Linked DNA regions of Macaca fascicularis. The protein of the gene in region 4 binds, or shares a complex with, the protein of the main gene of each other region. Links are inferred from orthologs where the notes say so. Each region holds a gene or a part of one and is shown on either strand. Other genes may lie near its edges.

Evidence for each region. The genes of interacting proteins can lie anywhere in the genome.
Region 1: the proteins of MED26 (region 4) and MED21 are in contact, whole or in part, in a cryo-EM structure (PDB 7EMF), measured with the Homo sapiens proteins. The link is inferred for Macaca fascicularis from reciprocal best matches to the Homo sapiens genes MED26 and MED21. Residues at the interface, in NP_004822.2 of Homo sapiens: Ser481, Arg482, Asn483, Glu484, Ile485, Ser488, Tyr489, Ser491, Arg492, Ser495, Leu496, Ser498, Ser499, Ser500, Leu528, His529, Ser535, Pro537, Thr538, Asp539, Leu540, Pro541, Gln549, Asp551, Leu552, Ile555, Gln556, Trp560, Gly562, Val563; in NP_004255.2 of Homo sapiens: Ala2, Asp3, Arg4, Leu5, Gln7, Asp10, Ser14, Gln18, Asn21, Gly24, Val25, Gln28, Cys29, Tyr54, Leu57, Phe58, Leu61, Arg64, Thr65, Lys67, Asp68, Val71, Leu72, Asp74, Ser75, Leu76, Pro77, Ser78, Glu79, Glu80.
Region 2: MED26 (region 4) and MED13 share a complex: the UniProt entries of both Homo sapiens proteins name them as parts of the mediator complex. The link is inferred for Macaca fascicularis from reciprocal best matches to the Homo sapiens genes MED26 and MED13.
Region 3: MED26 (region 4) and MED8 share a complex: the UniProt entries of both Homo sapiens proteins name them as parts of the mediator complex. The link is inferred for Macaca fascicularis from reciprocal best matches to the Homo sapiens genes MED26 and MED8.

What each region holds. Positions count from the first base shown.
Region 1 is NC_088385.1:29,774,907-29,780,305, reverse strand, and holds the start of MED21 (mediator of RNA polymerase II transcription subunit 21), read right to left. Parts: upstream 3,264-5,399; 5' UTR 3,234-3,263; coding exon 3,192-3,233; intron 1-3,191. UniProt on the Homo sapiens protein: Component of the Mediator complex, a coactivator involved in the regulated transcription of nearly all RNA polymerase II-dependent genes.
Region 2 is NC_088390.1:46,526,735-46,532,150, forward strand, and holds the start of MED13 (mediator of RNA polymerase II transcription subunit 13), read right to left. Parts: upstream 3,264-5,416; 5' UTR 3,187-3,263; coding exon 3,121-3,186; intron 1,277-3,120; coding exon 1,042-1,276; intron 1-1,041. UniProt on the Homo sapiens protein: Component of the Mediator complex, a coactivator involved in the regulated transcription of nearly all RNA polymerase II-dependent genes.
Region 3 is NC_088375.1:191,387,049-191,392,699, reverse strand, and holds the start of MED8 (mediator of RNA polymerase II transcription subunit 8), read right to left. Parts: upstream 3,264-5,651; 5' UTR 3,080-3,263; coding exon 2,724-3,079; intron 2,069-2,723; coding exon 1,924-2,068; intron 1,420-1,923; coding exon 1,279-1,419; intron 1,092-1,278; coding exon 1,010-1,091; intron 648-1,009; coding exon 399-647; intron 1-398. Other genes in the region: KICSTOR complex protein SZT2, read left to right, coding at 4,382-4,408. UniProt on the Homo sapiens protein: Component of the Mediator complex, a coactivator involved in the regulated transcription of nearly all RNA polymerase II-dependent genes.
Region 4 is NC_088393.1:16,961,260-16,966,867, forward strand, and holds the start of MED26 (mediator of RNA polymerase II transcription subunit 26), read right to left. Parts: upstream 3,676-5,608; 5' UTR 3,419-3,675; coding exon 3,347-3,418; intron 1-3,346. UniProt on the Homo sapiens protein: Component of the Mediator complex, a coactivator involved in the regulated transcription of nearly all RNA polymerase II-dependent genes.

The DNA of each region.
Region 1 (5,399 bases), on a different chromosome or scaffold from region 4:
TTTCCTTCTATCATTATTGTTGCTTAGTTCAACCAATTATCTCACACCAGAATTATTACAATAGCCTTCTTGTTGTTTGCCAGTTCACCAGGTTATTTATTTTACCCTGATAAAAACATTTGAGCTTACTCCACCACTGTCTTCAAGGTAAACCTCCAACTCAGGCTGTTTTGAAGCTTTCAACAATCTAAGTCAACTCTACTGACTTGTTTTCCACTACTCCTTCATATTTACCTAACTAGTCATAAAGTCACTTATGACTAAATGGCTTTGCCCAGGTTTTAATAATAGTAATGGAGCAATAAGTGCTCAGACGCTATACAAACGTAGATCCCAGCTCTATTAACCCAGGTAGCATTTTTCATTTTTAAATTGGATACATTCTCCTATTACAGCATTGTTGTGAGGAAGAGGAAATACACAAAATATTCAACACAGTGTCTATCTGTTCCATCCTTCAAAAACTTTTAGGCCGGGCGCGGTGGCTCAAGCCTGTAATCCCAGCACTTTGGGAGGCCCAGATGGGCGGATCACGAGGTCAGGAGATCAAGACCATCCTGGCTAACACGGTGAAATCCCGTCTCTACTAAAAAATACAAAAAACTAGCCAGGCGAGGTGGCGGGCGTCTGTAGTCCCAGCTACTGGGGAGGCTGAGGCAGGAGAATGGCTGAGGCAGGCGAATGCTCGGGAGGCGGAGCTTGCAGTGAGCTGAGATCCGGCCACTGCACTCCAGCCTGGGCGACACAGAGAGACTACGTCTCAAAAAAAAAAAAAAAACTTTTAAGATCCATTCAGTCAACAAAACTTTATGGAAAATAACTATGACAAGTACTACATTTAAACACTATAGAGACATAGTGAATGCGACATAGCTTCTGCACTCATGGTTTTCAGAGGGTAGAACAAATGTTAAAAGTTATACAAATCTGATTAGGATAAATGCTAAGAAGATTCCCTCTATTTTGGTTCACATCACTCCATATTCCAATTTACTTCAGAACCTAAAGCTGAAAATACTCAATTCATTATAACTCCCTAACCACATACTGTTTTTCCATCACTTAAATGTCTCCTGAGTATATGACATTTTTTTAACCTCCTTAAGGAGTATCTCTTTGCAAACATGATAGTGCTTATACACAGTAGGCACTCATACTAGTTATCCTAAAGGCTTTTCTCCAAAATCCAATTATCAGTACGCCTAACCTGGAGTTAAGGCCATATTCACTCTGTCCTTACTATCCTTCTAGTTACAAGACATGTATGAATATGCAAAAGTTTCCCTAAAATAAGATTTCTATCCAGCAGCATCATTACAATTTGATTTTGTAAAATCTCAAAGGAGTAGTTCCCTGAGGAAGGCTGACTGGCAGCTCAGGCAAGTCCCTGCAGGGCAGAATTTATCTTGGTGAATTCAACATTTAGAAGCTGGTCCTCTCAGCCTTAAAAACTAGTGTTATTCACCCAGGGTAGATCAGTTTATCACAAGTAGATTCACACTCTTCAAGTGTACAAAGCCTGATGTATTAAGAAAAATGCCAAGTTATTAGCTTACAGTGAGGAAAAAAAACTGGCAAAGAAACCAGGTACTTAGGTTTTCCTCTCAGCATGTTTTCTCTCTAGTCCCTTATCTAGGACGTTAAATCACAATCAGACAATGAGAAACATAACTATCAATGGAAAACTATTTAACAGAAAACTATGTAACTGGTAATGGTAATAAGTATACCCATTGCAGCAAGAGAATACCCACTGACGTCTTGGTCAACGGGATGCATATATTATGTCGGTCCCCTATGGTTATAACAACGCTGAAAAATTCTTACTGCCTAGTGACATCATAGCGGTCTGTGCTTGTGGTGACGCTGCTGTAAAGCAACCTACGGCACTGCCAGTGTATGAAAGTCTAGCACATACAATTAAGTACAGTCCATGATACTTGATAATGATACTAAATGACTTTGTTACTGGTTTATGTATTTACTGTTTCATCGTTATAATACATTGTACTTCTACTTATTAAAAAAAAAAGTTATCGCCGAAACCATGCATTTCTCAGAACATAACCCCTTCATTAAGGGCCCATGACTGTATGCGCATCCTCTGGCTTTGCTTCTGCTTTCCACTCAGGCATAGCTTGGAGGAAAAATTACCAGAAGGAACAAAGCTGGGGAGCTACCTACAAGACTTGGCCTTTAATAGAGCGTAGAATTTGGGGGAGACGTTCAAAAAGACTTGTAAGCCGGGCACGGTGGCTCACACCTGTAATCCCAGCACTCTGGCAGGCCGAGGCGGGAGAATCGCTTGAGGCCGGGAGTTCGAGACCAGCCTGGGCAACATGGTGAAACCCCGTCTCTACTAAAAATAGAAAAATCAGCCGGGCGTGGTGGAGGGCGCCTGTAATCCCAGCTACTTGTTTGGCGGAGGCGGAGGGTGCAGTGAGCCGAGATGGCACCACTGTACTCCAGCCTGGGCGACAGACACAGTCTCCAAAGTAAAAAAAAAAAAAAAAAAAAGAAAAGAAAAGAAAAAAGAAAGACTCAAATAAACGGAAAGACATACGAGAATCAGAAGATTTCCTATCATAAAGATGTCCCCAAACTGATGCATTCTGAGGGGTGGCCAAGAGACAAGAGATGGAAGGAGGCTCTGGGCCCACAGGAAGGAGCGAAGATGAAAAATCTCTCGCCTCAGCGTCGCTCCGCACCAACCTGAAAGCGCTGGTGAAGGAATACTCTCGGCTGGCATTTCATTACAAAAACCCAGTCATCCACAGCACGAGATCTCCCTTGGTGGATTCAAATTGATGAGGAAAGAAAAGAGCTCCTGCTTCTCCTCCCAACCCCCAAAAGAGAGATGTAAGCACCGCTGCCAAGAAAATAAAACTGTCCTCAGGGAATACGACAGGACCGCGCAGCCGACAAGTCTTGGCGGCCCCACCCGGACAAGAGCAATCTTCCCGGTCTCCTCAAGCGAAAGAGGCTGCTCCCTCCCGCACCTTCAAGCACCGCCCGGCAGCCGGCCTCACACCTCCGAGTTCGCGGTGGCGCCTCCCGAGAGAGCGCTTTATGCCGAAGCCCTGTTTCTCAGTCCGCTTTCCACTTCCAAGTTTTGCCTCTTGGGCCCCTTTTCTCCCTTGCTTTACCTCAGGAAAGAGAAAGACAGAGGCTAATCGAATGAAATTCCTCACCGAATTCACAGCGTCTTGAAGCTGCGTGAGCCGATCCGCCATGTTCTTCCCGCAGCAAACCGACGCCAAAACAGCTGCTCTTCCGCGACTGGGCAGCTCTGGTACGCGTCATGGCCAATCCCAGCGCTGCCTTCTTGGAAGGGGTGGGGTCGGAGAGAACTCCCCGCCCGTCAGGAGTGGGTGGTACTGCCGAGGCGGCCTTAGAGCGGGCTACACCAGAGGAGAGGCTGGATCTTTTGAGTAACTGGGGAGCGGCCTGGGGTCCATCGCTTTGAGGGGCTGAAATACTCTCTTTGAGGTTGTTAGGTGTTAAAGGCTTCAGAGATCGTTGGATTCAGCGGGGATTTTTTTTTTTTTTTAGTGATTTCTCCTATCCTCTCATGTGTTTACTTATTGACTACATTGAAGAGTAGATATATTTATTTATTTTTATTTATTTATTTATTTATTTATTTTGAGACGGAGTCTGGCTCTGTCGCCTAGGCTGGAGTGCAGTGGCGCGATCTTGGCTCACTGCCAGCTCCGTCTCCCGGGTTCACGCCATTGTCCTGCCTCAGCCTCCCGAGTAGCTGGGACTTTAGGCGCCGCCACCACGCCCGGCTAAATTTTTTTTTTTTTTTTTTTTTTTTTTTGTAGTAGAGACAGGGTTTCACCGTGTTAGCCAGGATGGTCTCCGTCTCCTGACCTCGTGATCCGCCCTCCTTGGCCTCGCAAAGTGCTGTGATTACAGGCATGAGCCACCGCGCCCAGCCAAGAAAAATCAGCTGCACAATTTAGATTTAGAGTTGGGACTTATTGAGAGCTTAAGTGTGAAGAGTGATAATAGAAACTTGGTATTTAAGGAAATTTAGCCTGAGGATAGTCTGGTAAGAAATGAGTTTGGAGTCGGCAAATAACAGGTTTGGAGACATCAAACAAACTCTCATATCCTCTTTCTCAGGCTGATTATCCGTGATTACCTTCCTGCGGCTGCGGGGTAGGTGGTGGACACAGTCCCCGGGGAACTCAGCTTGCTGGATTTATCCCAACCCTTGCTGGGAAGCACCACTTCTGCTTCACACCCATGCCCCACCCTCATCCCCAAACAGTCTACAGACTTACTGGGGCCTCATTAAGAACGTGGATGAGGCATGCTCCCCATAATGGAACTAATGAGAAATCACTCCATAATTTGTTCTAACTGTAACTTGGGGGAATCTACAACCTTTTCCTCCCACCTTCACTTGAGCGTGTACCTTACTGAATGCCTGCCACATGCCAGGAAGTATATCCAGTGCTCAGTGTGCAAAGATGAATAAGCCAAGGACTCACCAAGAGGAAGGTTTTGCAGTTGTCCAAGATTAAGGTGAGCTGGGCCTAGAATAGGGTGTTGACCCTGATAAGAGAGGAAAAAAAGACTAAAATATATTTTTGAGAAAAATAATTAATACGGATTGGTGACTGATTGAATACAGTTTAGTCCACTCCGTAAGGATACTAAGTTTTGCAGCGTGATTGAAGGGAACTTGGGCACTTGAAGTAGAGAAGTCACTTCAAGACAACTCATATTGTGACACAGTTTTTGTCCTGCCACTATCTTCCTAGTAGGTCTTCCGTGTCTCCACAGAGACCTCAGGTTGATGTCCAACTATCTCTGCCTAGTTGTCAAGATTTACTATAATCTGGCTCCAGCAAACAGACCCAGCCTCACCTCTTGATAATTTTCTGAGTGAAATAATCCTCTGTTTCAGCCAAGGGCCCTGACCCCTTGGTTTTCCTGGTTCTTCAGCCTCTTTTGGCCACGGATCTTTTTAAGAATCAGATAAAAGCTGTGGACCCTTTCCCCAGACCAGACTCTCAACTTAGCCTACATTTGAAAAGGGGTTTATGAAGCTCTTGAAGCCATAGACTTCAGGAATAACCCACCTGCCAAATATAGTCTGTGCATCTAGCTCAGGATTTCTCAATGGCCGCACTCTTGACTCTTTAGGCTAGATTATTCTTTGTTGTGGGATGCTGACCTGTGCATTGTAGGATGTTTAGCAGCATCCCTGTCCTCTACCCCGGAGATACCAGCAGCATCCCCCCAATCCATTTATGACAACATGAAGTATCTCCAGATAGTCCCAAATGTCCCCGGGGGGCAAAATTGCCCCCAACTGAGAACCACTGGTCTAGCTGTTTCCTCATTCTTTACCTTTCCCAAAGCAATTTCTTTCCTGCTATTTA
Region 2 (5,416 bases), on a different chromosome or scaffold from region 4:
TCTTACTAAGTACCAGTTCAAGATACAGACACCTAGAATACATTCTATCCAGAAATAAAATAGATCCTATAGGTCATAGGGACAATAACAAAAACTTCAGAGTACTCAATTTCAAACAAGAACTTTAAAAAAATTATCTAGAAATCCTAAATTTATCTATCAAAAATCATTATCAAACTATCTTACCGAAGTGTTCGGAACCTTATAGCATACAACCAATCATTTACATTCCTATTATCTAAGATTCAGTAAATACTGACTTTGACAGTTCAAAGCTTCAGTAATTATTATGAAAAGCTATAGTTTCTCTTTCTAAAGTAGCATTTGGTCCTAAAAGTCAAGAAAATAAGGAAGTAATCACATTGATTTGCTCATAATAAAATTGTTTGTGTAACCTTTTAGATTATGATCCCATGTCCTATAAAAGCTAAACAAGTTGGCACTTGTCTCTTATTGAGTATGTGACAGAACAGTATATGAGTCACTTTCCAAAAATAACTAAATTAACATATGCCTTCATATGTTAATCAAACAGCACAAATGACAGTAACAAAATACTTACATACCTTAAAACATGCGCGCACACACACACACAAACACAAGGATAGTTACATTTCCAGTACTTTTAGAATCATCTGCCCATTTAATGCAAAAGACTCAACTTTGACAGTGGCTGAAGTGACTCAAAAGTTACATCTGGCTTCAAAACTATTACATGACTTTGTTAGGAACTCTGTTTCCTGATTCCATTTTTTGAGATTAATGTGGCATGCCTTCCTTGGACCCTAACTACCCGTGAGAAATTAAGAAGAGAGGTGGTAAAAGGAGAAAGTCATTCAAGCCTAAAAAACCCAGCTATAACATGGATAATTTGAGTAAAATAAAATAATCATGGTGAAATAAAACATGAAGCTCAATTTTTATCTGGCCTCCTACCTAAGTGTCCCACAATAACAAACTTACTTTGTAATACAAATGATATTCTGGGAGAAGTATACAATGTTGCTGTATCATTAATTAGAAATGGAAAGTTTCTTTCACCTGATAAGTCATGGTGAATAAGGTCAGCAAAATTGGGGTCTTCACCCCACCAAAATATCCACAATTCTCTTCTTCCAGGTCTTTGATCTCGCCGCCAAACACCAAGTACATCTGCCTTAAGGCAGCGACTAAAACTGCTCAAAATGGGGTCTTCTTCTGTCACAGGAAACAGAATAGGGGCAGAAGTTGGGCCTTGCCATACATATTTTTTCCATTTAATTCCCGTCAAGTCAGCCTGAATAAAAGAAAGCATGATGTTTTATTATTGCATATTCACTCAAATTCACAAAAGTACTCCATACGATGTCTCCTATTTCGTTAAGACATTACAATTTTTCAATATATGCTTGAGCTATTGAATGCAAATTAGAACCAAAAAAAAATGACTTTATAATTCAACAACCAACAATTTTAGGGAGAAGAACACAGTTAAAAATAAATACCACCATGTCACTGAATAGCAAGCAAATATGTACTCCAAGTAGAAATAAAAGAAACTGAACGAAGTTAAATATAGACAGACACACACACTTCAATATACAAACAGAGTACATTTTTCTCTGTCCTAAATGGTCACATTTATTCATTGGTGTCAAACGTTTAACTGAAAATCAATTATTAAAGACCCTATCACGGGTTTTTATTCCACATTTACAGAAGTAATGTCTCTAATGAAAAGACATCTGAACAAGTCCTGAAAAAAATCTATGTTAATTCTTCACACATACCCCTGTCGGAAAAGTCAAATAGCTGCTCACAAAGAACTGTCAGATTTGTGCTAGTCTATCTTCAAAGAGCCTGATCCTAAAAGTATCAAAAATAGACTGAGTTGGATAAGATAGAATACAAAACCTGGTGTATGTCTTATTATACGTGAAGAGATGCTGATTAATGGACATTGAAAAGAAAAACATACTGTAGAAGAGGATAGAGTATGAAAGATCTCAATTTAGCATCCAGAAAGAAATTCAAGAGGAATTCAATAATTTAATCTAACTTAAAGGTGCAAAGCATAAGGTGCCAAAAATGAAACTGCTGATACATGACTGGCAGTTTACACTTGCCAACTAGTTGTGCTCCGCCCACTTAACTCACTTATTACCTATCATATACTCTTAATATTTCTCATAGCACAAAGGAGAAAATGAAAAAATAAAGTCACCCAAACTTAAAGTCATTGATGAAGCTCAGCTACTGTCCCACACAGGCCAAGTTATTTGCAACAGTTGGTACTTTTGAAAGTCTCAACTGTTGGATGTTACCAGACCTGGGCTAACCTACACAATGGTCATCCCTACACCCAGCTTCTCTGGACTTTTCATTTCAATCAAACAAGGGAGCAGCCTGCTCAAAACATTCTGAAAAAGCAAGCAAAACACAATAAATATAGAAACAGTGCAAAACCACAGCACCTCGTCCATTAGCCCCCTTCACTCGCACAAAAAAAATTATGTTCTAATAAAAGCAAGATGGCTAGAAATTGTCAAAAATGGCAAACTGTTTTCAAAGTTTAAAAAGAAAACATATGAAATGGCACCTACTGGTTTTTACAGAGAGATCTTAAGTCACCCAAGGAAGAAACTAACCTTGCGTTAGTTTGACTCATACAAAAAAAATGTAAAACGAAGACAGGTTTCTGGGGCATAAGTTCTGGGGTCCTGTTTACATGGGGAAACCAAATTAAAAGGATGAGACATAAAGGCGGTGGGGAGCAGGGGCAATAATGGAAAGTGTGAAGCTGGGATACAAGGCCAATAAGCAGAAAAGCAACAGTTAAGAGAGAGAGAAAGGTTACTGTCCTGCCAGATAAGGAGCTCAAGTTGAGGACGAGACTACGGTGAAGAGGAGAGTCCGAAAGAAGACGAGAAAAAATGCCAACACTCCCCAAACAGGGCCCGGGACCGTGGGAGAGCGAACGCAGTCTCCCGGGGTTGGCCGCGGAGCTTCGCAGGGCGCCGGCTCCGGCTGGGCCTCGCCCGGGGACTCGGGCATCTGGACCAGACCCGGCCCCCTCCCCCACGGCCCAAGGGCGCACCTCACGGCCCCCCTCCCTCGGCGCCCGCCGGCCCCGGCACTCACCAGGCAGAAGAGGTTACAGTGACAATCTTCCAGGCTGGCCCCGTTCGGCACGAAGGAGGCACTCATCGTCCCTCACAGCAGCCGCCGCCGGCGCCACAACCCACCATCCGCCATTACCGCCGCCTCCGACCAGAGAGAGAAACACAGACACCGGGGAGGGCGTGGGGGGGTAGTGGTTGGGGGGGCGGTGGAAGAGGAGGCCGCCGGGCCGCCCGCCCTCCCCACCCACCCCCCCGCCGCCGCCGCTGCCGCCGCCGCGAGCAGCCCCCGCCGCCCGGCCGGCACCCAGCCGCCCGGGGCCGAGGGCCGGAGGCGGGAGGGCCGCGCCGCGCTCGCCTGGCGGGCCGGACTGCGGAGCCCGCAGACGCTCGTCCTTCTCTGGGAGACGGAGGGGATGTGTGCCCCTACCACAAGAAAAATAATAAATTACACAATAAATAATCAAAAACGAGTCCGAGACGGCAGAGCCCAAGCCCTGGAAGGTTCTCCCGGGCGGGGAGGCGCCCACACAGGGGCGGGAAGGGCGAGAACCGGGAGAGAAGCCCAGGCCCCCGGCCCGGCAGCGGCGATGTCCTTAAGCCCAGAGTCTCCTCAGCGGCGGAGGTGGTGGCGGCGTCTGCGGGCTCAGACCATTCTCTGGCTCTGTCTTCGTGTCGTCCCTGGGCCGAGCCGGCCTAACGTCTGCCCTCCTGCGGCCTCACCGGCTGGACGCCGTAGTCTCCCCCATTTTGTGGGCCCAGCGGGCGGTGTTTTTCCCCCTTTAATCCGAATTCACGGGTTTTCCCTTCGCTTTAATGGCGGCCACAGGGACCAGCTCGCCCTCTCTGCTCACCCATTGGCCGCCTTGAGGTCACGTGGGCCCGGGCTCCGTGGGGAGGGGGAGAGAGAAGTGAGCGAGGGAGGGCCGGGAAGCTTTCGGCCGAGGCGGTGAGCCCCGGGGACTGGGCAGCCAGCTGGTAGCCACTAACATAGCGCCACCTGCTGGGTGCCCTGGCCAGTGTAAAATGACCCGTGGCCCTGGCCCTGTCTTTGCGGGGAAATTTACAGTCCAGGAAGGTTCATTTCACAAATCAATGGGAATTACGTGGAAATCAGTTTGAGTTCTTTGGAAGAGAAAGTATTGACAAAAATTCCAAGACATTCTCATTTATTTCGCGAGGCCGCTGGGGTGCAGGCGCAAACCTCTGGATTTGGGAGTCAGACGATCTGGATGGGGACGAGACTCCACCACCTAAAAGTTGTGATATGAAGATAGAAACTTAAGAAACAAAATATTGCCCTGTAGTTAATAGACTGGGAATTAGAGCCACACTCCCTGGGTTCCAAGCTTGAGCAAATCACTTTCTGCTCTGTGTCTTGTTTCCTCGTCTGTAAAACGGGGAAAACATGCCCCTTACCCCACAAGCTTATTGTAATGAGTTAATGCAAATTAAGCAGGTAGCCCAGGGCCCTGCACAGATAAGCACTGTTAAGAGTTAACTATTATTGTTGTCATCGTTACCTCATACAGTTATTGTGAGAAGCAGGAGAACTAGTGTATGTAAAGGTCTCACTACGTTTTTGTTGTTGTTTACTTCTGTCTCTCTAGTGCCTAAAAAAAGATACCTAGCACACAGTAGGTGCTTCATATTTGTATATTTACAAATGAGTGGGTGGTAAGAAGTAAGAACCAAACAAAAGGTTCATTCTCTTTCCCATAAAACACCCAGTGCTTGGATGGGTTACACTTCAATATAAGAGTTCAAAACAGTTTCTCTGACGGTTTTAGGATTGCAAGACAGAAGAAGAAAAGATGATTCAGAAGTTAGAAATATCGGTGAGTTAGGACTTACTGTAATTTTATGTAACTATTACAGATACATAATTATGTATTATGTGTTATAGATACATAATTGTATCTGTAAACTGAATGGTAGAGTCTTCCATGTCACTTCTTCAGCCACGGAATGAAAAAGAAGTCCTTGCCGGGCGCGGTGGCTCACGCCTGTAATCCCAGCTCTCAGGGAGGCAGAGGCGGGAGGATAGCTTGAGCCCAGGAGTTCGAGACCTGCCTGGGTAATATAGCGAGACCCTGTTCTCCACAAAAAGGAAAAAAAAAAAAAAAAAAAAAGACAAAAAAAGAAAAAGAAGTCCTCATTCATCCACTTGTTCATCTGTAGTGGTGAAGAGCCCAGGTCTGAAGCCCAAAGGCTGGAGAAAAAGCTCTGCCCTGCACTAGTTAGTCTTAGACCAAATTTGACCTTAGATCAAATTAATTTCTCTTTCTCTCAGTTATTGTAAAATGGGGGTAATAAAA
Region 3 (5,651 bases), on a different chromosome or scaffold from region 4:
CATGTAGGACTGGAAAACTGGCCTGCGTGTCAATTCCTAATGCACCTACCAAACGGTCTTAAGATCTGACCACTGATTTCTCTACCTAAGAAGAGACACTGACAACATATCTAATACCAGAATAAATGGGACCGAAGGATAGTTGACACAGAGATGTGAGATGGAGATGGGAAATGAGAGCAGTTTCTGTTACTCAAAGTTCTTCCTCACTCTCTGGTGCCTATGCAGAGTCTCAAATGAGATTTTTTTACTTCTGAAAATTATTTCCTGGGTCACAGTGCAAAGGAGAAATGGAGAAAATCTCTAGGTCTAGAGATGCTGGAGGCCCAGATAATCTAGCTTATTCCCTCCAGCTCCCCTGCTCAAAGTCAGCTTCCTTTCAACCCCTGCCACCTTACCTGGTTGACCTGCTTGAGCCATTTGTACCCCACTGAGCATTGGCTGCTGCTGGCTTGGAGCTCCTGCCATCTGCACCTGCTGTAATCCTGAGGTTCCTGCAAGGATCGTCCCAGCTCCTGGCTGGCCTGGCTGGCCAGGACCACTGCTGCCTGAAGGTCTCCAGTTAGACAGTCCTTTCCCAAAGGCAACAGCTGCCACCAAGGCATTAGTGTCTGTAGGGTTAAAGGTCTGCTTGTTTGGCCGGAGACCTGAAGAAAAAGTAAGTGGGGATCCTGAAGTATGTTTCTGATGCAGGACTGAACGTGGCAGCTGGAAGACCAGTATGAGTGCCAGGGTTTAGAGTTCTGAATTCAGCAGCATCTAGACTCCCTCACAGCCCATAAAAAGAGCCAGAGGACCCCCAAGCCTATCTCAGAATTCTCTCTTCTTACTTTGCCCATTTCCTCCACTGCTTCAGGGTTGGCCTTAAATACAAAAGGCTAACAGAATGGATGCAAACCCTAAAGCAGTTCACTCTTGTGTCCTAACTTCACTACTCTCGAAACAACCATTCCCATTCCAGTGATCTTATATACCTCTCCTTCTCTGTTTTGCCACCAGTCCACCATACCTCCACTCTCTGATTCTCGCTCCTCTTTGCTGATTTTCTCCAGAAGGTTTGAACACATTTTATTCAAGCTCTGGATCTGCTTCTGTAACACACAAATTTGTGCAGAGATTAGGGTAACTAGGAAACGATATGGACAAATTTATTCCTTGGGTTCTGCCAGAAGCAGCTTAGGTGCAACCAACTATGCATCCCTACTAGACAGGAATGGTAATGCCTAGCTTCTCATGATGGGATGGGGATGGGGCAGCAAGGCAGTGACTCAGTCCAACCTGGGCTGCATCTGCACCAATGCGGGCAGCATCTGTCGTCAGTTGCTTCTCCTGTTCTTCCACCTCAGGGTCAGGCTTGGTTCTCAGATGGTCAGGGACTACCTCATGGCTGAAAACGGGCACCCGTCCTTCAGTCTGCCGCTGCAACACACAGATTTTATTGATCCTACTATGCACTCCAAGAAGATTCTATCTGGCCTGATATACAGTCCCATCCACAGGCAAACAGTGCATTTTCAAGGAAAATACAACCTAAGACATAATATCTAGTTTCCTAGGACACAATCTCCTTTACTCCAGCCTTCATTTTTTGTGTCTTCTCACATCCCTATCTCTACCAGACCTAGAGGCAAATTAAACTATCACTGTCTGCCACGTTTCAAAGACTGAAACAGACAAAGTCACCAAAGGGCAGACTTTGTGGCTTGAGACAGATGTTGGAGAAGGAAGGTACCAGCCTTGGTGACATACCCCTCAGGTTATTACAACACTATTTGGGAGTGGCTCTCCCACCTTCAGAAGAACAAAAAGCAAGGCCTCCAAAATTATTTCTAAGTTCTCAGCTAAGAACTTAATTTCCCTAAATAGTAAAGAAGCCTAAAAAACTCCTTAATTTCCCAAGTTGTATTCTTTTTCTGCTCTTACCATGAGATCTTCATCTCGGTCTGGAGACAACACCAGAGGGATGATGACCTGGTTACGGAACAGCGGTGTTTTTTCATGCTTCAAGACCTTGTTCAGAGTGTTCAACTGTCCAGAAAGCAAGGCAAAGCTGTCCAGGACAGATGGCCTGTTGGCAGTAAGCAGGTGTCAGAATGTTCCACCCCTTCCTTGGGTGGTTCTTAGTAAAATAGTCCTAGTTCCTTCAGGCTAGGAACACTCGGATTTATCCCCAAAAGTCTCATAGCCCTATGACTAGCCTAAGTGGGAAGAAACTAACAAGGATGACAGGGTTATGAAAGAGGGACATAGTTTCAGTTTATGAAACAGATGTAGAAAAAATCCAGTTCATTGTTTGAATGAGGTGAGGAACAGTGGCAAAATAGGACTATACTGTTATAACTAAAACTTCAGAAACCCGGTAAAATCCTTCTTTCCAGCCTGGAAATAGGATCCACACTTCAGAGTAGGTTGGATCTAAAGGACTCAGCCATATTTGTGGCAAGAGATCCAGCACAAATAGAGCTGTAATAGGAGGACCTCCTCACCAGAGAAGTCAAAGGGTAAGAATTGAAAGCTATAATGAACTTGGGTTAGGAAACCGAGCATTTCTCTACTTCCTTGCCATGGAAGCCACTTGCTAAATGTTACGAAACCCAGCTCTTTCCAAATCAAAAGATGTTTGTAAACTGATAAATGGTTACATCATTAGAAGTGTCCTATTCATCAGAAGGCTAGGCCCCCCCACCCATAAGCCCTCCCTAGCTTGCCCTGGCAACCCTTACCAGGTCAGCCGGCCATACTCGTTCTCCAACTTGCAAATGAAACTTCCCAGTGAGTTCTTCAGATCAGCCACTTGACTCAGCAGTGCATCTAATGATGCCTCAAGCTGCTTCTCCTCTCTCTGCACCAATAGGAACAGGTTGGTTACCCAGATAAACGAGTATGACACATAGAAAGGAGGGCTGAAAAGCCAAGGAGATGGTGTGCAAACACCAGTCAGGTAACAGGATCTCATTGGCATAGGATAACCAGGTTGTTTCCTATCTGTGGTATTTGGGTTATAGACAGCATCAACCCTGAGACCTTTCAACCGTTTGCCTGACCCAAGTACTTCCACCAACTGATTCCTTTTTCCCATCCGCTCCTAATCTATGCCTGGTTTTTCTCTGTATTAGGTACACCCTACACTCCCTCATTGAGACATTTTCGACAAACCTAATGCCAGATCATTATCTCATGTGCACCTCTGTAGCACATGCACTCCAGCTTCCTCCATCCTAGCATTTGTGAGCCTGGCTCTCTTGTCAGTCTCTGGGAAATCTGCCTACTCATGAAGACTTCTCTGAATACCAGCCCTGCTCTCCTCTTTCCCTCCCCCCACCAACCACTCCAGCTTTCCATCTGCTCTCATCATTTCATGTTTCAACCTTCTCCTCGCTGAATTAATATGCACCCATCTATCTCTGTGTCAATATTCCCGTGCCTCTTTCACAAGCTCGGTCAACCCAATAACATTTCTTGAGACTACCAGCTGCAGGAAACTAAGTGACAAATGAAAACCAAAACCGCACATGCTTCTAAGCACTGAACAAACAAATTAAAATGCCGGGGGTCTGCAAAGCATTTCCTTCCCATCGGTGGTATCCTGTTTTATTCCATTTCTTCACCCTTAACAACTATAGGGCACAGGCTGGGAAGAGTGATGCAAAACTGTCTTGCAAACCTGCTAAGGTGCCTGACAGGAACTTGATCCTGGGTTCCACCATGGCCTCACATTACAAGCTGCTTAGCTTTCGGACACCGCGGCCCACAATTCCCTCACTGCTTGGGCTTCTTTCCAATTAGATCCCCTGCTATATCGGCATCCAACAGCCTCCATCCAGCAGCTTAGGACAGGGCCTGAGCCAACCCACCACCTCCTGAGCCGTCTTCCTTGGACTGCATCTCGGCCTCCCCGTATTACAACCTAATCCTTTCCCACGCCAAGCAAGTCAGTGCTGCCTCCTCCCTCCGGATTTAGCCCGACCGCCTTCTGTCAGGCGAGCTCCACCCCCACCTCTCATCTGCGCCGCTCCCTCTCCAATTAACCTCGCCCCCCAACCCACGTTCCCTTATCAGCCGTGGGTTCTGCCCTCTTTTCTCAGTCCCAACTCTTCATTCTCCTTAGCCAGCCCACTCTGGCTCCCTGTAGCCGAAGCTGGCCAGCCGCTAGCACTCCCAACGCGGCTCTCACCTGCATTGCGGCGGCCGAGGCGACTGCAACGATTTCCACTTCCGGTTTCCTGTCAGCAAACGCCTCTGAGAAGGCTTCGTCCACCAATCAGAAAACTGGAACTCGGCCCTCCCACCCACTTCCTGTTCCTTCCGGGTGCCGAGGTAGCCAGGTCAGGGGTCAAGAGTGGAACACACGGGCCCGGGCCGGCGCGGGAGGGCTTGTGTGATGGCCTCGGAGCGCCCCGAGCCGGAGGTGAGGGGCGGGCGGACGCAGCACTGGGCCCTGAGATCCGAGGGGGAGGGTCCGGCGGGCAGGCGTGGCGTTGGCCTCCTCTGGGTCTGGGGGTGGCCGGGCTGCGTAGCCTCGGCAGGGACCAGCCCAGCCCGGAAGGCCCGACTATGGTACCCCTGCGGACTATGGGACGCGGTCTGCAGTTTCCTCGGGGAGCTAAAGGAGTAACTCTTTTTGCTTTGTTTTGTTTACTGACGTGTCATCCGCGTCGTCAACTCTTTGACCTAATGATAGTGGTATTAACAAAATTTGTATTTTGACTTTCTGTTGCAGTTTCAATGGGCAACACGGCAGTAGATTTAGTTTGCCGGGTTTTGTATTTCTTTAGGCATTGGAATGCTGTAAACAGCATGAATTCATTTAGTTCTAGGGCCCATGCTTTTAGAAAAGCAGCTTTAATTTCATGAAAAAAACATTTGAGTCGGACTGAGACCTCGCTCCAATATTGGCGCTGTCATGTAGCTAATCTGTGCAAGCTCAGGCGAGTCTTCCCCGATCCTGTTTCCTTCTTTATAAAATGGTCTTACAGTGTGTTGTAAGGATCACATGTAATAAACCAGAAAGGGGATATGAGATATTCATTAGATGCTAAGGAACATGCAAGGAACCTTATATACATTGTGTCATTCAGACTTCTGCAAGGAAGATGGCGTTCTCACAGAGGAGAAAACTGAAAAATGAGAAAGATTTAGTACCTTACTCAAATGCCACTCATCCAGGAAGTAGCAATTTGGAGTTAGAAGATCTGAGCTTAAAATCTCAGATTTGGATAAAACACCACCACTAGGAAAGGTGCCAGTATATTAGTAGGTGGAAAGGGTGAGAGATGTGTATAATGATACAAATAGTATTCATTACTGCATACATACTGCATGCTTGGCACCATTCTAAGCGCTTTACCAGTATCAATTCTGTCAGCCCTATGAAGTGGACACTGTTATCTCCTTTTTTTTGGTTTAGGAACTGAGGCACAGAGATATTAAGAGTAACAAAGTAGGCTGGGCGCAGTGGCTCACACCTGTAATCCCAACACTTTGGGAGGCCAAGGGGCGGATCACCTAAGGTCAGGAGTTCGAGACCAGCCTGACCAATATGGAGACAGCCTGTCTATACCAAAAATACAAAATTAGCTGGGCATGGTGGCGCAGGCCTGTAATCCCAGCTACTCAAGAGGCTGAGGCAGAAGAATCGCTTGAACCGGGAA
Region 4 (5,608 bases):
GTTATTTTATTTGTCATGAGGATGCAGTACACCGTCTACTATCTGTTGGACCTTTCCTCTAAAAGCTAAGTTTGTTAATCATCACTTAACATCCATATTCCTCACAGTTCTACTGAGTAGCGTCTCAAGTCACCTGTGACTCCTTCCCTCTCCAAAGTTCTGCATTAGAATATTCCACGACTGTACTTTTGGGCATAAAGCAGTTACAAAGGCTTCCTAGTAAAATGGGGTTCACATGTAGCTCCTCAGGCACAGGTCCAAGATGGATGCTAGGGTTCAGTCAGTTTAAGCAGCAGATAGAAAGTGTGCCAAATGCTTCTGCTCTAGAGGGAGAAGACAAGACATGAAACATCCCAAGAAGCTTGTGTGCCGCACAGGAAGATAAAGCTCGTACCTCCACAAAACAAAGAGTGTCCCAGGCAGATGGGAACCGAATCACCTGCTGAGGAGACTGCTCACTACGACTGCTGTGCGAGAGTAAGACACAGTCCTTCACTTTACCCACAATGCAGCGAGAGTAAGCTGGAACAATCATGCACACACTGCGCTTCGGAGAGATTTTCAACACCCTGGGCTGAAAGGGTGCACAACGAAAAGAAAAGCTCCGACTGCTCTGAAAAACCGTTAGTAGCCTTTTGAAAAGGAGAGTAGAGGATTTACTTTATTACTGAATTGGCAGAAATTATTAACTCTGAGCCTGCTGCTATAGGAATTCAAATGCATACTCCAGGGGCTAAAAGAGCACAGAAACAACTTTCCTCGTAAGAATTTCTTTGTCAAGGAGATGGTTGGTAAACACGACTTCGTCACTTCCCTAACTTTCCAGATACTTTTGGATATTAGGTCAGTTCCTGACACTGATTTTGCAAGCAATAGCTAAGTTTGTTAACCATAATTGCATGCCCATAAAGGTAAGCATTACATGACACAATTCTCTGCCGCTTCTCTCAGAAGAGGTTTAATTTTAGTGTTGGCTCTTCAACACTGTCCCCGTTTTTTTTTTTTTTTTCCACGAGCATCTTAAATATGTGTCAACTAAATATCCAGTAGTGGAATTCATCATTGGGCAGGGCAGAGAGGAGAGACCGGCACACCGGCAGCACCTGTGCTGGAGCCACCTGCTCTCACCTGAGCCCACATTGATCCGAGAGAAACTGCAGACACACTGACATGCCCAGCTCTCACCACCACCTCCGCCAGCAAACCCCGTCCACTGCAGCTCTGTTTCTGCATGGTGTTTGCTCAAAGCGAACGGTCCTGTCAAACGGCCCATAACAGCGCTCAGAGGATCAATCACAAAGGAGGCACTTTCCTCATTGCTCATAATCAAGAAGATAATTTCCCAAATCCATCCACCCCATGTTAGTAGGACTCTGCCCAAGATCATCACCAAAGTCCTTGAAAATAAGCGATATGAAATGCAAATTCCATGTCAGGTAACATAACCAGGGACCTATATAACATTTCTGCATGAGCTGAGACACACAAAACTAAGATTTGTTCCGTCCTCTTTTCTTCTGCCTCAAGGAACCCTTTTGATTAGAGCCTTACACAATACTGGAAACTGTGAGGTCACTGGAGTGACCTAATCTACAACACTGTGATCGCCTGTCAAAGTGCCGCCTGATCCCAAAGCTCTCTGAGGTGGCATTAAGGATCAGTGCTAATATCTCAGCAACCTCTCAGACTCTCCAGAAGGAAAGCGAGTGCGTGAAATTCAAAAAATTACCTTCTGGCTCCACAAAAGATGTACAAGTCACCAAGGCTATTTTTTTCATGTCACTAGTTTTATCCTCTAATATTTCAATCTTAAAATTGCAGTGGCACCAGTTACTGCAAAAAGGACATTCGAGAAGGTTTTATATAGCTTGTGCCCACTCCACCCCCAAAGTCATAACAAAAATGTATAATATAACATTTGTTAAAGACAATTACCATCAAGTCAATGTTAATGGGACCTGAATACCAGGGATAAGAGAAGTACTTATATCACAGCAAAAACAGGGCCTTAGAAAAAAACTCATAACCCTTCAATCTTACCAAAAATTGTATAAGTCAACGTGAATTATTCCAAAAACATCATCAGAGTTAAGCATACTGCTAAGAGTAATCAGCCAAGCTCATGTAAAACTACAAGTAAAAACCCCTACGGTGAGAGAAACCTGAGTTACCTGGCCAAGCCAAAGATGATTTTTTTCTTCCATTCACAGCATATTAAAAAGTGATCTCAATGGCCACTTCCTGGGAAGCAGGGCCTCACTTCATACCTGGATGCTACTGCATCTTCCCACCGCCCTGCTCCTGCCGCGGGAAGTATGACCCCTACTGCCAAGAAACTCTTGGAGAAAATATGAGAATAGATCAGTCTTCCCACCCCCACCCCACCCCCGCAACAACACACATACACACACACAGATACACAGCCACACATACGGAGGGGGAAGGGGCGGTCCCTCCGCCAACAGTAGCCTCAGCAAAGGGGCACCCGAGGAAGCGACACCCTGGAGTTAACCCTGACAGTCTGGGTCAATAGCCACCAGGCTGAGACCCCCAGGTGAGGGAAAGAGCCTACTGAAACAGGGCTCTTGGGTAAACGGGAGAGAAAAGTCCTCTTTAATTCACTACCCAAAAAAATGGAGCTCTGGCTTGGTCAGAGACGCAATGGGTACTGAGGCCCAGAAAGGCAACAGGAAGGATCCCACCCTCCCCGAAATCATCTGTCGCTGGCAGCGACCCCAAGAGGGTTTTGGCGAAGGCGTGTCCAGTCACAGAAGGGAGACAGACTCTCCACGTACCCTGGGTACCCGGCCAGGGGCAAAACACACTGGGGGTTCTCTCCGAAGCCAGGAAGGTGCTGCCAGCCGGGAGGAGGGGGAAGGACTTCTCTCATAACCCAGAAGGCTAAGACATGGGAGACACAGGCTCCCCGAGTCATACCCCGGACACCAGTTGCTTCACAGCCCTTCTCCCTCCCCTCCCCCGCTCCGGGAGGGCTTCCCGGGGGTCTCAGGTCCCGGAGGGAGGGCGATGCAGGGCAGCTTCGTCCAGAGCAGTGAGGGTCATAGAGCTGGAGCAGAAAGGGGAGATAAACTCTACCCTTAGCCCCCCGTCTGCTTCCTCCGCCCAGGCCGCACGGAAGCCTCGGCCTCACGTACCAAGCGCTGCCGGGCTGCCCGACCTGCCCCCGGCCCGGGCCCGAGGAGTGAGAGGCAGAGATGGCAGCGGCCCTCGAGGGGAGGTGGGCGCCAGACGGGTCCCCCGAAGCCCGGTGGGCGAGGGGGACAGGAGAGGGGGAGGGTCCCAGGCCCATGCGGCCTCCGTCCCAGCTCGCGCGGCGGGTACTTACGTTGCTCTGGGGGTCGATGGCCTGCAGCAGCCGGTCCCTGATCTGCTGCGGAGACGCCGGAGCCGCTGTCATTGCCTGGGCGAGGCGGGGGTTGCGGCCGGGCCAGCGGGCGGGCGGGCTGAGGCGGGGGACGGGGGTCACTCACTCGCCGGCCTCCGGGAGCCGGAGCCGCATGTTCCCCGCGGCGCCGGAGGGTTAGGTGCGCGCGGGGTGGCGGAGAGGGGAGCCGGGGCCGGGTCTCGGTCCCGGGCCGCCGCCGCCACCGGAGGAGGAGGAGCCGCCGGAGCCGCCGCCGCTTGCTGCCGCCGCCTCGAGAACCAAACTCCAGTGAGCTGCCCCCGCGCGGAGTACTCTGGGTAGTCCGCGCCGCACGCAGCGTCGGCGCCACGCTGAGGAGGTTGGGAGATGGGACGGGCGGAGACGCCAGGCATGGGCGGGGCTGCCCGTGCGCCCCGCCCCGCGCCTCCGCGCACGCGCGCGCAGGCGCACTCACCCGCCTGTGCCGCCCCGCCCCGCCGCCCGGCCTAGGCAGCCGTTGGGAGGAGGTTGGGCGGGGCAACGGTCGCTGCCTGGAGACCCCGCCCCCGCCCGGGTCGCGGGGCGGGGCTTTCTGACGGAAGCGCGCGCGCAAAGAGTCCTTGAACCCGGACGCTCGCGGCGGCTACCTCAGGGCAGGGAGGGCGGCGGGAAAATCCTTCCTCTAGGAGAGCCTTCCCGGCGCGTGACTGGGGGATGAGAGTCGCAGGCTGAGCAGCTGCCGAAGTTTTTGTGAGGGCGAGGGAAGCAGACGTCCACGTTGTGATTCTGCGCACGGAAGGGTCATCGGAGGAGTCCAGGGGTGTCGCCGCGGCCGCCCCCGCCCCTTAGAGAGTGTGGGAATGGGTGTGGTGACGGGCGGGGGTCTGCATCGCCACGCGCGACCCCGATCGCGAAAACGTGAGGCGGCAAAGAAGCCGCCCCCCGTAGCTGGGAACGCTGGAAAGCCGGAGGTTGCAAATCTGCGTCTACGCCGCGGCTTCTCCACCTCGGCGCCACTGGCATTTGGGCGATATTGCTCTGTCGTTGGGGCGGGTCCCGCGATCTGTCGAAAGTTGAGCGGCATTTCTGGCCTCAGAAGCGCCCCCTCCCCCAGTCTGCAGTCATTGCCGCCATCCCTTGTTGGGGCACAGTCCCCCCGCCCCGCTACCGGCAGAAAACCCCGTGATTGAAAGACCCTTCTACCCGCCTCTGCCTGGAGGTGCTGTAAAACTGAGATGCTCATTCTCTTAACCAAACACGTCACAGGAGGAAACGGAGGCCCAAGGTCACCTAGACTTCGGGGTTAAGCCCAGAACCGCAGGTGTCAAGTTTAAGGGCGCCCCTCCTCCCTCCACCCTACTTATTGCCTTCTGTAATTGCTCCCCTCTCTCTGGGAACTCTGTTGGAAATGCTGTTGTGAGACGGGGTGGAAAGGCAAGCTCGGCGGCCTCGGGAGAAATCTTTTTTTTCCCCACTGTTACAGGAAGACCTAGATTTAAAACAGGAGGAAGACGGCTGATGAGAACCACATGTGTGCCTTGGCGCTGCCTGGCACCTGTTAGTCTTGTATTTGTTGTGCTTCTGGGAAATGTTTTCATTTGCAAAAACGGCTGCTTCTGCACGTGGCTATAGTTGCGTGCTTCTGCACATGTGAAAAGTTTTACATCCACTTGGAGGAGAAAAGAAACACGGGCAAAACACTTGTCATTTACTGCTCCCAACCTCACCCCTCCCAGAATGCGGAGCATTGTGTATATGGTGTACATGGTCCAAGTTGGAAACTGGCCCATTCGGAGATAATTCTTTATCTCATTTCTGATAAGCAAAATAAACAAAGCCTTCCTCAGGCATATTCTGGTCTTGCCTTTCAATTTCTAACTCGGATGTACAGTATCTTTTTTTTTTTTTTTTTTTTAAATAAAGGATTACATAGGAGACAATTTATTTTGCATGGGTCAAGTTATTTTAAGAAACATTTGGGCGGGAGTGGTGGCTCAAGCCTGTAATCCCTGCACTTCAGCAGGCTGACGCGGGTGGATCACTTGAGCTCAGGAGTTCGAGACTAGCCTGGCCAACATGGTGAAACCCCATCTCTACAAAAAATACAAAAATTAGCTGGGCGTGGTGGCGCGCACCTGTAATCTTGGCTACTAGAGGGGGCTGAGGCAGGAGAATTGCTTGAACCCGGGAGGCAGAGGTTGCAGTGAGCCAAGATTGCACCACTGCACTCCGGGCTGGGCAACA